Sus scrofa: one gene and its partners. The protein of the gene in region 4 interacts with the protein of the main gene of each other region in a biochemical or structural test. Links are inferred from orthologs where the notes say so. Each region holds a gene or a part of one and is shown on either strand. Other genes may lie near its edges.

The links. The genes of interacting proteins can lie anywhere in the genome.
Region 1: the proteins of MAPK9 (region 4) and JUNB form a complex in vitro, tested with the Homo sapiens proteins (2 studies listed by BioGRID). The link is inferred for Sus scrofa from reciprocal best matches to the Homo sapiens genes MAPK9 and JUNB.
Region 2: of the proteins of MAPK9 (region 4) and MAPT, one has a biochemical effect on the other in vitro, tested with the Homo sapiens proteins (2 studies listed by BioGRID). The link is inferred for Sus scrofa from reciprocal best matches to the Homo sapiens genes MAPK9 and MAPT.
Region 3: the proteins of MAPK9 (region 4) and MAPK8IP3 form a complex in vitro, tested with the Homo sapiens proteins (2 studies listed by BioGRID). The link is inferred for Sus scrofa from reciprocal best matches to the Homo sapiens genes MAPK9 and MAPK8IP3.

Annotation. Positions count from the first base shown.
Region 1 is NC_010444.4:66,216,544-66,220,650, forward strand, and holds the start of JUNB (transcription factor jun-B), read right to left. Parts: upstream 2,893-4,107; 5' UTR 1-2,892. UniProt on the Homo sapiens protein: Transcription factor involved in regulating gene activity following the primary growth factor response. Binds to the DNA sequence 5'-TGA[GC]TCA-3'.
Region 2 is NC_010454.4:17,208,499-17,212,810, reverse strand, and holds the start of MAPT (microtubule-associated protein tau), read left to right. Parts: upstream 1-1,420; 5' UTR 1,421-1,570; intron 1,571-4,312. UniProt on the Homo sapiens protein: Promotes microtubule assembly and stability, and might be involved in the establishment and maintenance of neuronal polarity.
Region 3 is NC_010445.4:40,238,560-40,242,644, forward strand, and holds the start of MAPK8IP3 (C-Jun-amino-terminal kinase-interacting protein 3), read right to left. Parts: upstream 2,893-4,085; 5' UTR 2,555-2,892; coding exon 2,237-2,554; intron 1-2,236.
Region 4 is NC_010444.4:78,337,243-78,341,340, reverse strand, and holds the start of MAPK9 (mitogen-activated protein kinase 9), read right to left. Parts: upstream 2,876-4,098; 5' UTR 2,718-2,875; intron 1,731-2,717; exon of another isoform or gene 1,659-1,730; intron 1-1,658. UniProt on the Homo sapiens protein: Serine/threonine-protein kinase involved in various processes such as cell proliferation, differentiation, migration, transformation and programmed cell death.

The sequences.
Region 1 (4,107 bases), about 12 Mb from region 4:
GGAGGACCGGTTGTGCAAAAAATTAGTAGGGGTCTTGGGATCCATGAGACTGAGAGCCCCCTACATGGGAAGAGTAAGGAACTGGGGGGACCCAGATAAGCAGAAAAAGTGAGGGTTCTGGGGTACACTGAGTCAAGGAAAATATGTGGGGTAGAAGACTGGGACGTTGTCAGAGGCTAGGGGTCATTGGGGTCAACTGCGAAGCCCCGATGAAAAAGAATTAGAAGGGTCGGGGCACCCCCTCGGAGCTGGGATGACACTAAGGGAGGGGCCCTGGCTGAAACATGGGAGGAAGGGTCTTTGAGGATCCAGGATACCTGGACTGCTAGATCTTCCATGATGGGCGCCCCCTCTCGTGAGTGACCTCTAAGTTCCAGTATACTCTCTCCCCACCCCCAAAGCCCTCCCCCAGTGATCCTCGGCTTGACCGACACCGTGAAGACTCCTGGTGCCTGGACCCAGCCTGACGGCCGGGGCGCGGTCGCCCAACCCCACTCTTCCTTAGAAACAGGCTGGGGAAAGAGCGCCGCGGCAGGAAGTGTGGCAACAGCCCCGGGGGAAGGAGCCGGGCCCTGCCTCCGTCACTCGAATCCTACGGGACCATATGCCCCGCCCTGGGTCCAGCCGGGTCCTGCGCCTCGGAAGAGGAACCTGGGCTTGCGACCCCCGAGGAAGTCAGAGCGAGCGGAACACACCCAACCGCAGAGGTCCCCAGTCATCGACCCCCACCCCTGCAGTGGTTCAGCCCTAGTGTCGTAAAGGCTAGCAATCCGGGGACGGTTCCATTAGCCGGACGGAGGGGGACGCGCCGGGGAGCGGGGCCTGGTCGCCAAGGCAACAGGCCGGAGTCCGCAGGCAGGACTGGGGGCGGGGCGGCCCCCGGAGTCTCTCTCTGACGCCCATATAAGGGCACAGGAAGGGGTGGGGTCAGCACTGTCCCGGGGCCCCCGGCCAGGAGCCGGGAGCCCGAGTATCTGCCAGGTCCCAGGGCGCGCCCGGGCCCCCAGACGGCTAGTCCCGACCAGCCCCGACCGCCGCCCCCGGGGCCCCCACGGCCTCCTGGCCCAGCCCCACCCAGCCGCTCTGGGGCCGCGTCCTGCCAGGCCCTGCCCAGCCCGACCCAGCCTGGCAGGTCCGCGCCTGCCCGCGGGCCTGGGTCGGACTTCGCCCCCGGCCCGATGGGCGCAGAAGGGGCGCGCCAATGCCTCTGGGCGACCCCGGCGCCTGGGCGGGCGGGCACGACGGCCTCCTACCTCATGCTGGGTGCCCTTACTTTCTGCCAGGAGATCTGGGGTCCTTCCCCAAATACATCCCTAGGGGCTGGGGTGCTTCCTCCTTCACTCACGTGGGTGAGAGGCCCTACTCCTATTTTAGTGTGAGGGTCTCCTCACCATCCAGAATACCCAAAGGGGGATCCACACTCCCTCATCTGAGGGCTCCCTTCCCCTGCTGACAGAGAGGACCTGAAAATCCATGAGTCGAATCTGAGGGAACCTCTCCAGAGCCTCTTCCCCAAAATGGGTGAAGGTTTAGATGCTGAGGCTTTAGTTATACTTAAGGTGGGACTTCCAGGAGGTAGGCTATGAGCCACTAGAACCAGAGATGAGCCTCTCAGTATCTGTCTCCTCTCTGTCTTGAAAGAGACATGTCTATCTTTTGGAAACATGGAAGTTTCTTTAGGGTAGACTTAGGCTGAGGGAGAGGAGATAGCCAGCCTTTGTAGGGCAGACACAGCTCACCAAGTGTGGAGGAGAGAAGGAAAACGAAAGAGGCGAAAGAGAAACTGAGCTATGTGGGGGCAGGGGGAAGTCCAGCAGAGCCGGTGGTGGTGTTGGGGAGGAAGGTCCCATGAGAAGCTGGGGGTGTCCCCATCTTTGGAGGGTCCTTGTGACCTCTGGGTACCCCCTCCCCTCCTCCTTTGCTTGAACTGCTCCCCTCCCCCTCCCCAGGCTCAAGGGAGATTCCAGTGGCCGCTGAGTCTGGCAGGCATGCTGCCAGGCCTGTGTCTCCCGCCCATGCTAATAACTGCAGCTGACATCTGGCTGGGCCCTGCGGGGGCGCAACGGGGTAGTGTTGGGGGGCTGGGCAGGTCTGGTTGGAGGGCAGCATCTCAGGAGGCTAACCTGCAGGTCCCACAGGCTAGGAGTACACAGTGAGTCATCCCTGACCAGTGCTGAAGCTGGCTGTGCCAGGGGAGCCTTGGAGAGAGGCAAGACTGGCCCATGAGCGTAGAGATGGAGGGCAAGGCCTGAGCAAGGAAAAGTGGATGTATGGGGGTGGGGGTCAGGGCAGGGAGAGATGCAAGATTAGAGTCATGCAAACTCAGAGACTCTTGAGACAGGCCAACAGACTGAGAAATAATAATTATTATTTTAATAGCTAACACTTATATGGCTCTTACCATGGGCCAGGCACTCTTCTAAGTGGTTTACATGGAATAACTCATTGCCTGTTTCCAACAATCCAGCGAAATGCATGCTCTTTGTATCCCCATTTAACAGACTAAAAAACTTAGGAACAGAAAGGTAAGGAACTTTGCCCCATGTCACATAGCTATAAGCACTGGAATTGATCTAGAACTTGAGATGTCTGACTCCAGAATTTCAGCTCTTTTTGTGTGGATAATCACAACTAGAGAGGCATTTATGCAGTGCCAGCTGTTTGTCAAGTTCTGCAGGCCCTTTCAAGAAGAGTCTCCTGGAATTCCTATAGAGACTTAGCAGAAAAGAACCCGACTAGTATCCATGAGGATGTCCAGAGTTGCCCTGTGCTGTAGCGTAGGTCGCAGAAGTGGCTCGGAGCCGGCATCGCTGTGACTGTGGTGTAGGCCGGCCGGCAGTTGTAGCTCTGATTCGACCCCTAGCCTGGGAACGTCCATATGCCACACCTGGGTCCCGAAAAAGAAAGAGAAAAAAAAAAGGTCTCCTTTATCCTTTAGACAAACAGGGTTGGGCACAGGGCAGAGGGGTGCTAGTGTGTTTGGGGGCAGGCCGGCATGTTGGAGTGGGGTCGGGTCACTCTCTGCACTCTGCACGGGTGTTTGAGCAGGGGGTGGGGATGGGCCAGTGAGGGAGGGCGGGGGCCCAGCTGAGCTGGTACAGCCGGTTCCAGGCCCCTGCCAGTCTCACCCTTGTGGCCTGGGCACCACCCCCTCACGCCGTCCCACTGGCGCCAAGGCTGGCCCAGAGAGGAGAGCCCCCTCCTCCATCAGCCCTGGGTGCCCAGACTAGCAGCTGGGGACTGCCCAGGCCCTGGGTTCCAGACCAGCATCTGCCCAAGGAGTCTGTGTCCAGGCTTCCCTCATGCCCAGGGCCCGGGGGCCTAGGGGACTGGATAAGGAGGAAGTTCTCCCACCCCCACCCACAGGTCTCTCTGGGGCTTTTGGCCTTGGCAGGAGGGACTTCTCCTTCTTATAAATAGCCTGGTGACACCCCCCCACCCCCCCCCCCACACACACAGCCGGCTCCACTGGCTGGCAGGGCCCTTAATAGAAAACTGGGCTGGGGGCTGCTGGTGAGTCAGCCAGTGGGCAGGCCAGGGCGAGAACCCGCAAGTCACAGCACCCAGACTCCCTCGTCCCTGCCCCTGGGTGTGGACAGGCAGCTGGCAGGAAAAGGCTGAGAATCACGGAGGCCCTCCCCCCAGGAACCCTGGCTTGCCAGCAGCTTCCCTACCCAATCTCTGTGGTTTGGGGGGTCCCTCACCCCTCTCCTGGAGAGGAAGCTGCTCAGTTTTCTTGGAAGCAGGAAGGAGAGGAGAGTTTGTCTCCTCAGGCTGACTCAGCTGGGCACGAGGGGAGTTTCCCACAAAGCTGTTTCTGTCACCCCCCCTCCATGCTGCTGGTGAAGTCTTGGGGGGCCTGAGCCTGGCTGAGATCCTGGGTACCTCATTTTCAGGGGATGTGCTGAGAAAATAGGCCCACACCCTATGAAAGCCTGAGGCTGTTGAACTGGGCCTCCTAGGGGAAGTGACAAACAGTGTGGGGGGTGACAATGTTGGAGAGAGGAAGCACCAGGATTTCTGGGTGGGGTTAGAGATATGGGCTGGGAAGCCCAGAGCCTCACAGCACCTAAGCAAGGTCCAAGGGCGCATGTGTGTCTGGTTGGC
Region 2 (4,312 bases), on a different chromosome or scaffold from region 4:
AATCCATGTGAATAAAGAAAATCATCAATTACTTGCTTTTTGTATTAATCTACAGCATACAATATTGCTTTAAAAAAAAAAAAGAATATCAGAGCTATGCAGGGAGTTCCCATTGTGGCTCAGCAGGTTAAGAACCAGACTAGTATCCTATGAGGATTTGGGTTTGATCCCTGGCCTTGCTCAGTGGAGTAAGGATCCAGCATTGCTGCAAGCTGTGGTGTAGGCCAGCAGCTATAGCTCCCACTCAACCCCTAGCCTGGGAACTTCCATATGCCAAGTGTGCGGACCTAAAAAAAAAAAAGAAGAAGAATATAACAGCTATGTAAATTAAAGCTTTAAGACAAATTCCCACCCTCCTATGACAAGATGGCTGTCCCTAAGCCCTTCTAAACTTAAACTCCCACTGCCAGGGTTTAAATTAGATGTTGGGCAGAACAAGTTAAGGACAAAGCCTAGATGCTGGCTGACTGAGAGAATGAAAGCCTCTGGCCACTTTCAGTCTGAGGCATGTTATCCAGGTGAGAATCTCCCGCCAGCACCTGGAAATTCAAATCTCAAGCTCTATTTACAGTAATAAGGATGTTTCACAAAGAAGATAAAAATAACTGTATATGTGAAAATGCTCTGTAATGTGGTAAGTGCCATTTGAAACTTGATCTAATTTAAGATTTTATTCTTGGGTTACAGTTAGATTTGAATGCTCCTTGTTAAAACACTCCCCCCCCCAAAAAACACCCAAATGTGCACTGCCTAATTATAATCAGGTTAGCCAGGTTTAAGTAGATTTACTAAGGAAAGAATTCACCTTGATCAATAACAAAAAAGGTGGAACAAAAGCAGGTTGAAGGGAAACAGACACGAGGAAACTGATCTCCAACAAGGGGAAATTCAGGAGAGGGTCAGGGTGCCAGTGGGCAAGCCTGGGGGAAGTTTTTGAGGACCTGCGTGTACTGTCTGGAGAGCCGGCCACGTGAAAAACTGCCCAGGACCTTTCTGAGACAGGACATCACTCCGGAGCAAAAAAAGGGGCTGCGGATCTGGAGGCGGCGGAGCACCCAGCGTCTCCTTTAACCCAGAGGGCAACCAAGCCTCGCTTCCTAGGGAGGAGACCCCTAAGACAAAACAAAGACTCCAGCCGTGAGAGGAGACCCAATGTGCGCTTGCGCCAAGAAGCGCGCGTGCGCGTGGCTGTCAGCTCCGCAGCACAAGGCATGGGAGGAAGGGAGACCCGGGAAGGGAAGTGCCGAGAGGAGAGAGCCGGGAGGCGGGGAAGGGTCGATTGGTAGGGCGCTCACGCGCGCCCACTGGTGGCCGGAGGAGAATACGCCTGCGGAGGCCTCAGGGCCCCGCCCCTCCCCTGGGGAGGCTCGCGCTCCCGCCGCTCGCGCCTGCGCCGCCCGCCGGCCTCGGGAGCGCGCCCTCTTGGCGGTGCGCGCGCTCGCAGTCTCCGCCACCCACCAGCTCAGGCACCAGCAGCAGCGCCGCCGTCGCCGCCGCCCACCTTCTGTCGCCGCCACCACAGCCACTTGACTGTTTTCCTCTGGTGTCCTCGCCCTCTGTCGACTATCAGGTAAGTGCGAGGCTCCGAAATCTGCCTCCCCCTCTGCCCTCCTGCACTCCCATGCCGCCGCCCCTCGCCCCAGAGATGGGTTTCCTGAGGTGAATTTTGGTCGGGGGCAACCGCCGGGGCCCCTCCTTGCCCCTTCTGCGTTGGGGCTCGGGATTAGGGCGACTTGGAAAGGGACCCGTGCAAGGGATGCATGGGTGTGCGTGTGTGTGTCCTGAGGGGGTCTGCACGACCCGTTGCGAGCGGACCCGGACAGAGGTTTTGCCCACAGGGTGGGGCGCGGATGGCGGTGACCTGGGGGAGGGGGCTGCAATGCATTCTCGAATACAGCCTTTTGCAGTAATAGGAGTGTGACTTTGTGGGTGTGGGGGGTGTTCAATGACGACCCCCCAAACCGAACCTCTAATCTGATTTCTCTGCCTCGGTTTGCCATCAGCTCTAAGGAAGGTATTGATCGGGTTCTAGGAAAGATGACTCCCTGCCTGCCCCTCCCTACACCTCCCCGGCAGCTATTCCAATGGGGCTTTCGCTGTCCCAGGTTTAAGGCGGTGGCCCACCCCTTCCCCGTTTTCCTCCTTCAGAAACCCGCAGGGGACATTTGGGGGCTGGGAGTGGAATCAGGGAGATGGGGAGGGGTCCCGGTGCTGTCACTTTAGTTGCCCTTCCCCCTGCGCGCGCCTGGCACCCAGACTCGAGCAGCGCCGCGCCCGAGAGAAGGTAGTGCGCGGATCTCAATGTGGAGGTGCGGAACGGCAGGGGTCACCTGGCCTTGCGATGTGGAAGGGCTCGGCAGCCGCGGATCCCAGCTCGAGGGCGCGCACAGCCGCAGCCCCGCACAGACGCGCGCGGGGGCTGCAGGTGCATTTCGGGGCGGGCCCCTTTCTCTGCGCTCTGCGCTCTGCGCTGGCGGACCGGCGTGTGCGCTCCCTGCCGGAGGCGCCCGGCTGGCGCGCAGGGCTCGCCCCTCACTGCGGCAGTGGGTGTGGACCCGGGTGGGCGAGGAGGGGGTGGGTAGGCCGAGCCTCCTCCCACTTCCACCCTTGCTTTTTTCCCCTCCGAACGCGAGGTGCCATCTTTTTGCGGCGTGTCATGTCTTTATAGTACCGTGCCAAGCCGAGCGGCTCGGCTTCGGAGGACAGGGCGAAGACTGTCATTGACGGGGAGGGGGCAATTAGCGCTGAAATCTTGGATTTTGCTGCTGCGGGCTTGAGCACTGGGGGAGTTCACCCAGGATTTTCCTTGGGGGCTCGGTGCTTTGTTTGTAGGGTTTACGTGATCTGCCTTGCCAGCCCTAGTTTTTGGCTCTTATTCTATGAGGGTGTTTAATCGAGGCCCCCACCCCTCCTCCCGCTTTTTGCCCCTCATTTCTGAGCCCTTTGTTAGATCTTGGCGCTCGCTGGGGTCGAGGAACTCGAGTCAGCCCCGAGGGCACGCAGGGAACGGGCGTGACCCCGCGAGCCCCTCTCCCAAAGCGGGGCTGCGCGCCAGGAAGCACCTGAGGGCCGAAGGGATGGACGCGAGTTGCGGGTGGCCACAGAGGGACGATGCCCCTCCCCATACTTGGAGCGTCCTGGGGGCGACGCCTCGCCAGGGAGCGCCGGCGACCCCCGGTGGGAGAAGCGGGGTGCAGGGGTGGGGGTTGCCCACTTCGCTTCACGTCCTGTTGCTTCACCAGGCGGGAGAATGTGAGGAGGGGGCATGAGGTGCTGCGGGCCACACCCTTTTATCAAAAGGCCTGGGAGGGGGTCGCAGGGGGAGGTTGTCATGGAGACCACCCGCACCCTGGGGACAGACCTTGGGGCGTTGCCCCGCCCCTGCCCAGCAGAGATAGAGAACCTAGGGATAGGCCCTGCCCCTCTGGCTCCAGGAGAACACAGGAGGGGGACCTCCCACCCCTTAACCCGTGGCTCTTCCAAATTGGACTCCTGCGGCCGCAACCACCAGGAAAGGCATCTTTCATGTATTTTTATTATTATAGTCGAATATTATTTTAGAACCGTGAGAGATTTTCATTTGAGAGCCCGAGTTCGCCGCCACCTTGAAACCCGGAGGCGGAGTGAGGTGGGGGAAGTAGGAAGGCGGGTAAGATCCTGGCGAACAAATCCGAGCCTCACCCTCTTTCCATTAGCTGGGTCCTGGCGGCTTTCTGGTTAATTCTATCGCTGGAAAGTGGTGCGGGGGCGCAGTTCTGAGATTCATGAGCATTTAAGGGAACACACCATCCTCTCGAGCCGCGCAGATTGATCTAAACATGCGGGGAATGACTTGGCTCGGGGTCGAGAGCCCCCCAGGGGCCAGGCCGAACCTTCCCTTGGCTTCGGGATCGGATCGGAGCGAGCTTTCCTGGGATCGGATCGGAGCGAGCTTTCCTGCAGAGCTGGGCTCGGCAGGGGCAGGTTGGAGAGAGGTTCAAGGATCAATTCGAGCATCTTCCCCCCGCCCCATAGAGCTAGACAAGAGATTCTGGTTCTAGACAGAGCTAGGGTCTAGACAGAGCTAGCAGACCTGGGAACAGGGAGCCCGCAGCCTCCGCTGCCTGGGATGGACCGCAGGCGAAGACAGCATCTCCTATCCGTTGTTGGGAAGGAGCGCATCATGGCAAGCGCGTTTAGCCCAGTGCTGGGAACAAAGCGCAGTATAGGCGTCCGCTATTTTACCCAATTTTGAAATGTATTGGCGGTTTGGTGGGGCTCTCGGGTCGGCAAGGCCGGGGGTGGGGGTTGTTAAATGGAGGAATCCTGGGGG
Region 3 (4,085 bases), on a different chromosome or scaffold from region 4:
CTCCTGTCTCATGAGAGGGCCCCCTCGGGACCAGAACACAGGCACCAGCCTCTCGCTGAGCCTATCGCGGGCGTGCCGCAGGGGCAGGGGTGCTTGCTCTGCTCCCGGCTCTTCTTTAGCCTGCAGCTTGCGCGCACTCAGAGGCTGCAGGCGGTTCGGGTTACGGCCTCTGAAAACGCCTTCCCAAGCAGACCGGCCAGGGCGCCAGGAGCCACTGCCAGGCCAGGCCGTTCTGCCCCTGTGTCTGGAAAAGCACCCCCCCCCCGCCCCCGACCGGTCTCTTCCACGGAACAGGAGAGGGGCGTCTGCTGGACGCGGAAAGTGAGCCAGGATGCCGACCCGGTGGCGGGACTCGGCCACACGGGAGGTCTCTCTAAGGGCACCGTTAGTGTCACATCACAGCCTCTGGCCGGCCTGCCAAACCGGGTCCGCTCCGGGGCTCGCGGCTCCGCCTCTCTCAACAGCGGAGGCAGGGAGCCAGTCTCCTCCAGACTGCTCAGCTCTCAGGCCCCGGGTGCGACCGGGCGGCCAGGGGCCCACTCGGCTGGGGCTGCCCCTGGACTGCACGGAGCAGAGCGCGGCCTCGCCCACCCAGAGCTGAGGGTGAAGTCGGAAGGTGAGGGTTCTCAGCCTTAAGGCCGTCCATCCTTCTCCCCGGACTTCCTTCCAGGCCACTATACGGACCACACGGGCACGGGACGCAGGAAACCCTCCTGAAACCCACCGTGAGGCATCAGATGGCTGCTGAGGACAGGCCAAAATGGGCGGCACTGCCCGGGGGGAGGGGAGGGGAGCCCGGCGCGTCAGGCTTCTGACCGCCCACAGCGGCATCATGGAAGAGCTCACGCCAGGGGTCAGGCCACACTGGGTCCCCGCCTGGTCCTTCCGGGGCATGTGACCTGGGACCCCTCCCCCCCCCCCCCCCCCCCCCCCCCCGGCGCCCCCTGTTCTTTCCCCAGGAAATGCCTAGGGCCACCGTGAACTCCGAAATCCTACAAGCTTGGGCATCCCCTTCAGTTGTGAGCCCCAGCAGGCAACCGTCCTTTGACAGATGCACAAAACCCAAGAGCCAGTGGGTCCCCGGAAGCAAGAATGACACAAGACAACGTTCACGCACACACACACTTAAACCAAACCAGGCCACCCACTGCTTGGGCTCGAGAAAAAGTCGAAACACTGGAACAATCCACTTCAATACTCAAGTCAAGAAGGTGTTGACCCAAATTAATTACAGGGGAATTTAGCACATGTAGTAAGAAACTTCCTATTCCTCAATGGAAAAGCATCACCCAATGACGGGTGGCACAGAATGTCAGGGCTCAGAGATCATCTAGGGCGAGTGACTACAGGACGGACGGAAATGCAAAATCCGGGGCAGAGAGGCGCCGTGGACAAGGTCACAGAGGCAAAAAGCAGGGACGAGAGCCCACATCCCCGGACCCGCCTAGGTCTGGCATAGAGCGTGAAATGACGGTGAATGAATGAAGGTAAGTGGGGTTCCTTACAATGCGTGTGGTTCTTCTAAGTGGCTCACAAAGACATGACGTCCAATTTAGGAAGATAGAATATCTAGGACAGAATACACTCTTTCCAAATTCTCCTTTTAACTCCTCGGAAGCCACAGTGCAATTTCTCAGCCTTTTCACAGAAGCTAACAACCTCCCCAAGGGAGGGCAACGCAGGGGAAAGAAACCACCTCCATAAACTTGAGGTCTTTCACCAGGTGCCAGCGAGGCTTTGGTTCTGTGTTCATATCCATCCTTAAACTCGCCCGGGTCACAGACCTTCAAAACACCGGCCCAGAGACAAGGCACAGATCTGACAACGGACAGCCTCTGGCTGCAGAACCGTAAGATCAGAAACCTCCTTTTTCTCGGAGACTTTAAAACGGCAGCAACCTGGAGTCTAGGAAACGTTTGCGAAACACACACACAAAAGCAAAAAGACCTGGCGTTTGGGATGAGAGGTGGGTAAGGATGGGACACTGGGGCCTGAGACCCTTCGCGCTGCAAGCTCTCCCCCGTGACGCCAGGTGGTTTAGGGGTCAGGGCTCCTGGCTGGAGCAGCGGGCCGGGAGGAAGGGGGAGCCAGGGCTCAGCCCCTGGGCCCGGCGGGGGGGGTGCCCCGGGGGGCTTGGCTGGGTGGGCGGGGCGGGAGTCGGGCCCCGCCAGGGCGGGGGCTGAGGGCGGGGCCCACGGGCGGGGCGAGGGTCCCCCGCGCGGCCCGGCCCACGCACCTCTTCGGCCTGCTTGCGCAGAGCCTTCTCCCGCTCGTACTGGGTGAGCAGCTGTTCGTTGTCCTCGCGCAGTAGCTCCAGCTCCACCTCGTGCTCCTGGTTCTCGCTGAGCACGGAGTCCAGGTTCTCGAGCACGTTGACCACGAGCGGCATAAGCTCTTTGACCACCTCCTCGTCATAGCAGTGGATGAGGCGCTCGAACTCGCGGTAGATGGAGCCCGCCAGGCCCGACACCCGCTCCGACATCACCGAGCCGGAGCAGTAGTCATCCTGGTACACGACCACGCCGCCGCCCTCGTCCATCTGGATCTCCATCATCGCGGCCACCGCCGCCGCCAGCGCGGCCTGCTGTCCGCCGGCGCGTTCGCCCGCCCCGGCTGCCCGTGAGTCCGCAGGCCGCAGCCCGTCGCCTCCGCCGCAGCCGCTGTTGCCTCAGGGCTCAGCCGCTGCCGCCGCCGATGCTGATGCTGCGCCCGTCACTCAGCAGCCGGAAGTCCCGCCGCCCGGAAGTCCCGCCCTCCAGACAGCGAGGGCGGTGCCCGCCCGTCCCGCCGGCGCCCCGCCGCTAGGGGTCGCAGGTGCCCTGACGTAGGAGGAAGTCCGTCTCCGGCCGGAAGCTGGGCAGGGAACGCTTCCGGCAGGCTTGTCAGAGCCGCTGTCGGTCAGCTCCCGCGACGCTGACGGCGTAGATTTTTACCAGGGGCCGCGCGTCCGCGCAGTGTGCACAAATGCTTCCGTACGGCCTGGACTTGGGCGAGCATCCGCGTGCCCCCTCCCCCCGCCCCGAGGGAAGGGCCATTATCTTTGGGCGCCTGTCCCCTCCCTCCTGAGGTGTCCAGGATGCTGACCTGGCTGTCCTCTGACTTGCCTTTGCAGCGTCACCGCAGTACGCACGCCTACACGGTAGGTGTTCAGAGCTCTCTGCCCTTCACTTGTCCCCTCTGGGGTTCCAGTCTCATCCTAAGATCCAGCAACAAACGCTCATTTACTCCACTTCGGTGTCTTGATTTTGTGTAACTTATGCAGATTTCAGTTTCATTTCACCAATGCGTCATCTAACCCACACACTGAGTTCATTTCGATAGATATATATTTTTGTTTGGCCACACCCTCAGCGTGTGGAAGTCGCCAGGTCAGGGATAAAACCTGCACCACAGCAGTGACCGTGCCCAATCCTCAACCTGCTGTGCCACCACAGGACTCCATCTACCATTTCACTTTTTTTTTTTTCTTCATTTTTGGCCGCCCCATGGCATGTGGAGTTCCTGGGCCAGGTATCAGATCCAAGAGGCAGTCGAGACCTAAGCCACAGCTATGGCAACACCGAATCCTTAACCCACTGGCCAGGGATGGAACCTGCGTCCCAGCACTCCTGACTCCACCAATCCTGTGATGCCCCAGCAGGAACTCTTCTGTGGTTACATGTTAACTTCCACTTGTCCTATTTGATTTTCCTTAGACTCTACCAGATTTTTTTGTTGGTTTGTGATTAGGGCAGCACCCGCGGCATACGGAGGTTCCCAGGCCAGGGGTCCAATTGGAGGTACAGCTACCACCCTACACCACAGCTACAGCCACACCAGATCCAAGCCGCATCTATAACCTACACCACTGCTCACAGCAACGCTGGATCCTTAACCCACTGAGCAAGGCCAGGGTTTGAACCTGCATCCTTGTGGATCCTAGTGGGATGCGTTAGCGCTGCACCACGACGAAAACGCCTGTACTCTGCCAGTTCCCATAGGCCCTTATTTCTCCCACTTTTAGCCACCTGATTTGCATTTCCTTTCAGTGAGGTCTGAGGACACCATGAACCTAAGACTGACACTTTCAGCCTTGGCAGCCACAC
Region 4 (4,098 bases):
AATGGTTTACTATTAATTAATACATACGGCACTTTTCTTTATCCAGAAAATTAAGATTTTATTTTATTTTATTTATTTATTTATTTGGTCCTTTTTTTTTTTTTTTTTTTTTTTTTTGCTATTTCTTGGGCTGTTCCCGCGGCATATGGAGGTTCCCAGGCTAGGGGTCGAATCGGAGCTGCAGCCACCGGCCTACACCAGAGCCACAGCAACGCGGGATCCGAGCCGCATCTGCAACCTATACACAGCTCGCAGCAACGCCGGATCGTTAACCCACTGAGCAAGGGCAGGGACTGAACCCACAACCTCATGGTTCCCCGTCGGATTCGTTAACTGCGCCACGGCGGGAACTCCAAGATTTTATTTTAAACGGGCAAATTGAGGTGCATTGTCTAACATTTATTTAGAAGGGCCAAATAAACACATTTTAATGTGTCAACAAATTATTTAAAGTCCTGGTCTCCCGAAAATTAAATCCTCAGGAGAATCAAAGCTCTTCAGAGAAGACTATGCCAAAATAGGATTACTTTTAACTCTGCAGGAGTCTTCTGAAGGGGAAAAAAAAGGGTTAAAGTGAAGGAAATCATTATTTAGACTGGATGCTATTCTTCCAGAACAAATTAAGAGCCAAAAGAGAAAACTCAGAACTGAGAAAAGAATGCTGATGGGGGTGGGGTGGGGGAGACCTGGGTTCAAATTTCACTTTCCATCTGCCTGCTGTGAAACAGGCTGCTGAAACTCTGGGAGTCTCTGGTTCCTCCTATGCAGAAATGGGCTTCATAGCTGCCATCACAGGGCTCCAGGCACATTAAGTGATAGTACCTGGATAAACAGGGTCTAGCTCCCCTGGCCTCAGGCTACCTTTCCAGCTCTTTACAACCTTTTCCTCCTACACAACCCGCCCAGAAGGTCAACAGCCAAGCTGAATGAGGTCTGTATGTTGCATGGTTTACATCACTTAAAATATTTTTTAATTAGCTACTGCTAACATTTAAAAATCAAGAGAGTACAGATACAAATGTAGAGTTCTGACTTTAAAAACCACCGGGTGAGCTAGATCTGGTTCTCCAGGGTCCCTCTAACTCCAACCTCTCTTACACCTAGCCCCAAAGGCTGATTCCTGAGCCACATTGGGGAGGAATCCTTTCCCTGCCCTTTCCCACTTCTTGCCTCCCCTTGCCTGACAAATTTCTCATCATTGTACAAGGCCCAACTCCAGGACCACTTATCACCCCCTCCACCTTTCCATGGCTCAGCCCCTCCTCTACAGCAAGCTGTCCTAGCACTGTCTGCATATCAGCCTTCTTTACTGGGCTCTTGGGCTCTCTGGAGGAAGGGACCCTGTTGCTATTGGCTTTATGTCCCCAGGGCAAAAAACCTGACCTAGATAATGCAGAGTTCAGTAAATGCCTCCTGAATGTGTGCAAGGAAGTTAGAGCTAAAAATCGTTATAAAAATGCAAGATTTTATATCACAGCTTGTTCTGACAGATACCAAATAAAGGGGTCAAGGACATTAAAAATGTTCCACAAAAACGAGAGCAAGCTTCCATTTGCATACAAGTTTCACAAGTTAGTCAGAAGTCACTAAATGAACAGAGGCAACAGGTGGGCAGGGTCATTCATTCATTCATTGAACTGGTATTACTAAGTACTTACTGTGTGCTTTCTAAGCACTGGGATAAAGCAGTGGACAAATCAGACAACTACCTGTTTTCATAAAGCTACATCCTAGTGGGAGAGACAGAAAATAAACAGGCAAATCAATAGAATAGCTTTAAACCAGATACTAAGGGGAAAATTAAACAACATGAGATAGAATGACTAAGGGAAGAAAGAGGGTGGTCAAGGAAGGCCTCTAGTAAAATGAGACATCTGACCAGAAGAAGGACCAGAAGGAGCCAGCCGTGCCAAGAGCCCAGAGACAACGCCAATTGCTGGAAAGAGCCAGTGCAAAGGTCCTGAGATAAACAGGGCTGCCTGTTTACAGCAAGTAAGACAGGTAGGCTAAGAGAGCAGTGCTCTGGGTTAGGGGAGTGGGGAGAGCTGGGGGGGGGGTGGGCAGGGCCCGCTCAGGCGTTGCTGGGCATGAGTGTGCAATGACGAGGCACTGGAGGAGCTAGAGGATGGGGGCCTCTGGGCAGAAGGGGCGGGGGGGGGGGGGGTCTTGCCACACTCGCACCAGCAAGGGGCAGTATCCCGCCCAATTTTCCCCAAATGTGCAATGAGCTCTTCCCCAGGCGCTTTTACAAATATTCATATGGTCTGACAACAATCCTGTCCAAAAGGATAGACATTTCCCCCACTTTCCGAGAGAAAAAACAAGGAATAGCGAGGGTCAATGCCTTTGCCAAGGTCGCAGGAACCAGACCCCGGGTTCTGAGCATCCCAAAGCGGGTGTGCAGCTGCGTGCCAAACAATCGGGAGGGGTGGCGCCTACAGACCCTAAGGCAGGTCGGCCGAGGCCAGACCTGGGAGCGGGCCCTCAGCTCCCGGCTGCAACAGCCAGGAAGACAGGGGGCTGCGACTAGGGTCGCCAGAATCCAGCAGAACCCGGTTGGCTCCTCAGAACTGGTCAGCCGGCCCCGCGACACCCAACTCCCCACCCCGCCCTCCACTCCTCCACGGACCCTGGCTGCGCGGCCCTCCTGCCGCCCCCCCCAGGCAGGGCTTGGCCCAAGCAGTCCCCGCCGGGCCTAGCCCGCCCGCCGGGCTCACCTCGCCTCCCTGCCGCCGCGCCTGGGGGAGAGGGCAGGCGGGCGGACTGGCGGCGCTGCGCGCTGGCGGGTCGTGGCTCGCGGCTCGCGGCTCCGCTGCCCTGGGCTCGGCCAGCCGCCCCGCCCCGCTCCGCTCCGCCACGCCGCCGCCGCCGCCGCCGCCGCCGCCACTAGCCGCCGCCGCAGTGGGTGTGAGGGGCGCCGGGGCGCTCGGACCCTTCCGGTCTGGCTCCAGCCTCCTCCGCCGCCGCCGCTGCCGCCGCCGCGGCGCCCAGCCTGACAGACCCGCGTGAAGACCAATCAGCTCGCGGTAAGCCTGGCAAGCGCGGCCAATCGCGCTGAGGAGGGGGGGCTACCGTCAGGAGGCGCAGGCGGGGCGGCGGGCGGAGCCAGGCCACTCAGTGCCGGTTTCTGCGGGGACCCGGGCTCCGCGGCCGTACTGCAGGTTGGGTCCGCGCTTGGTGGACTCAGGCACGGCCCTGCGCGCCAGCTGAGTTCGTTGTTGCGCACGGGGGCCAGCAGCGCGGCGGCCGAACAAGGAGGCGGGAGGCGGTGGAGAGGGCAGGCCGGTAGGACGGAGGGCCTGGCCACCGGGCTGCAGGTGCAGACTGGCAGGGACGAGTTGGCCTGGAGGAAGACGGAGCTGGCCCTTTTCGGGGAGAGCCCTCTTCGGGGAGAGCCCGGGGCGAGGGCGAGGAGAAGCTGGGATTTTGCATCCAGGGCCAGGTGGCTGAGGCAGAGGCGGCCAGGGAGTCGGGAGGCGAGATAGGGTCCTTGGATTCCGCTGCTCACTGTGAAGGGGTTTGGAGGAATGCTTCCAGAAGTCGGGGAGGAGGATGCGAGGAGACGGCCGTGTGTAAACAAGTGTCGCGGGCAGATCTGTGACACAGGCGAAGAGAAAACTGGCTGGGGCGCCTGAAGCAAAGGTCAAGCCTCTGTCTCAGAGAATGGCAGAGTTGTAAATGGGAAGAGAGTGCAGAGCTGACGGCCCCCTAGGGCCTGGGGGCTTTTGACACTGACCTCTTGAAGCATCTCCTGCAGCCCTCTTGCCTCTGGGTCGGGTTCCAGCAGGTCTGGAGTCCTGTGAAATGATGGGAGAGACCAGAGTATTGAGTGTTGTTGGATCTGTGTTTGGATAAACAAAGCCAGAAATGAGACAAGAAGGCTGTGCACATTGGAAAAAAGCTCAGAGGTCCGTGGATGGGGTGAGGGGAATTGGACTTTGGGGTGGGGAGAGTGTTGGACTGTGAAGGAGGGACAGCCCTCACAGGTGACCAGGACTACAGGTGACCAGGACAGAGGCCAAACCGGGAGGAAGGAGCAGGATTCTGCAGTGGAAGAGGTTAAGGGGTGGGGTGGCAGAATTTGGAGAGAGTGGCAAG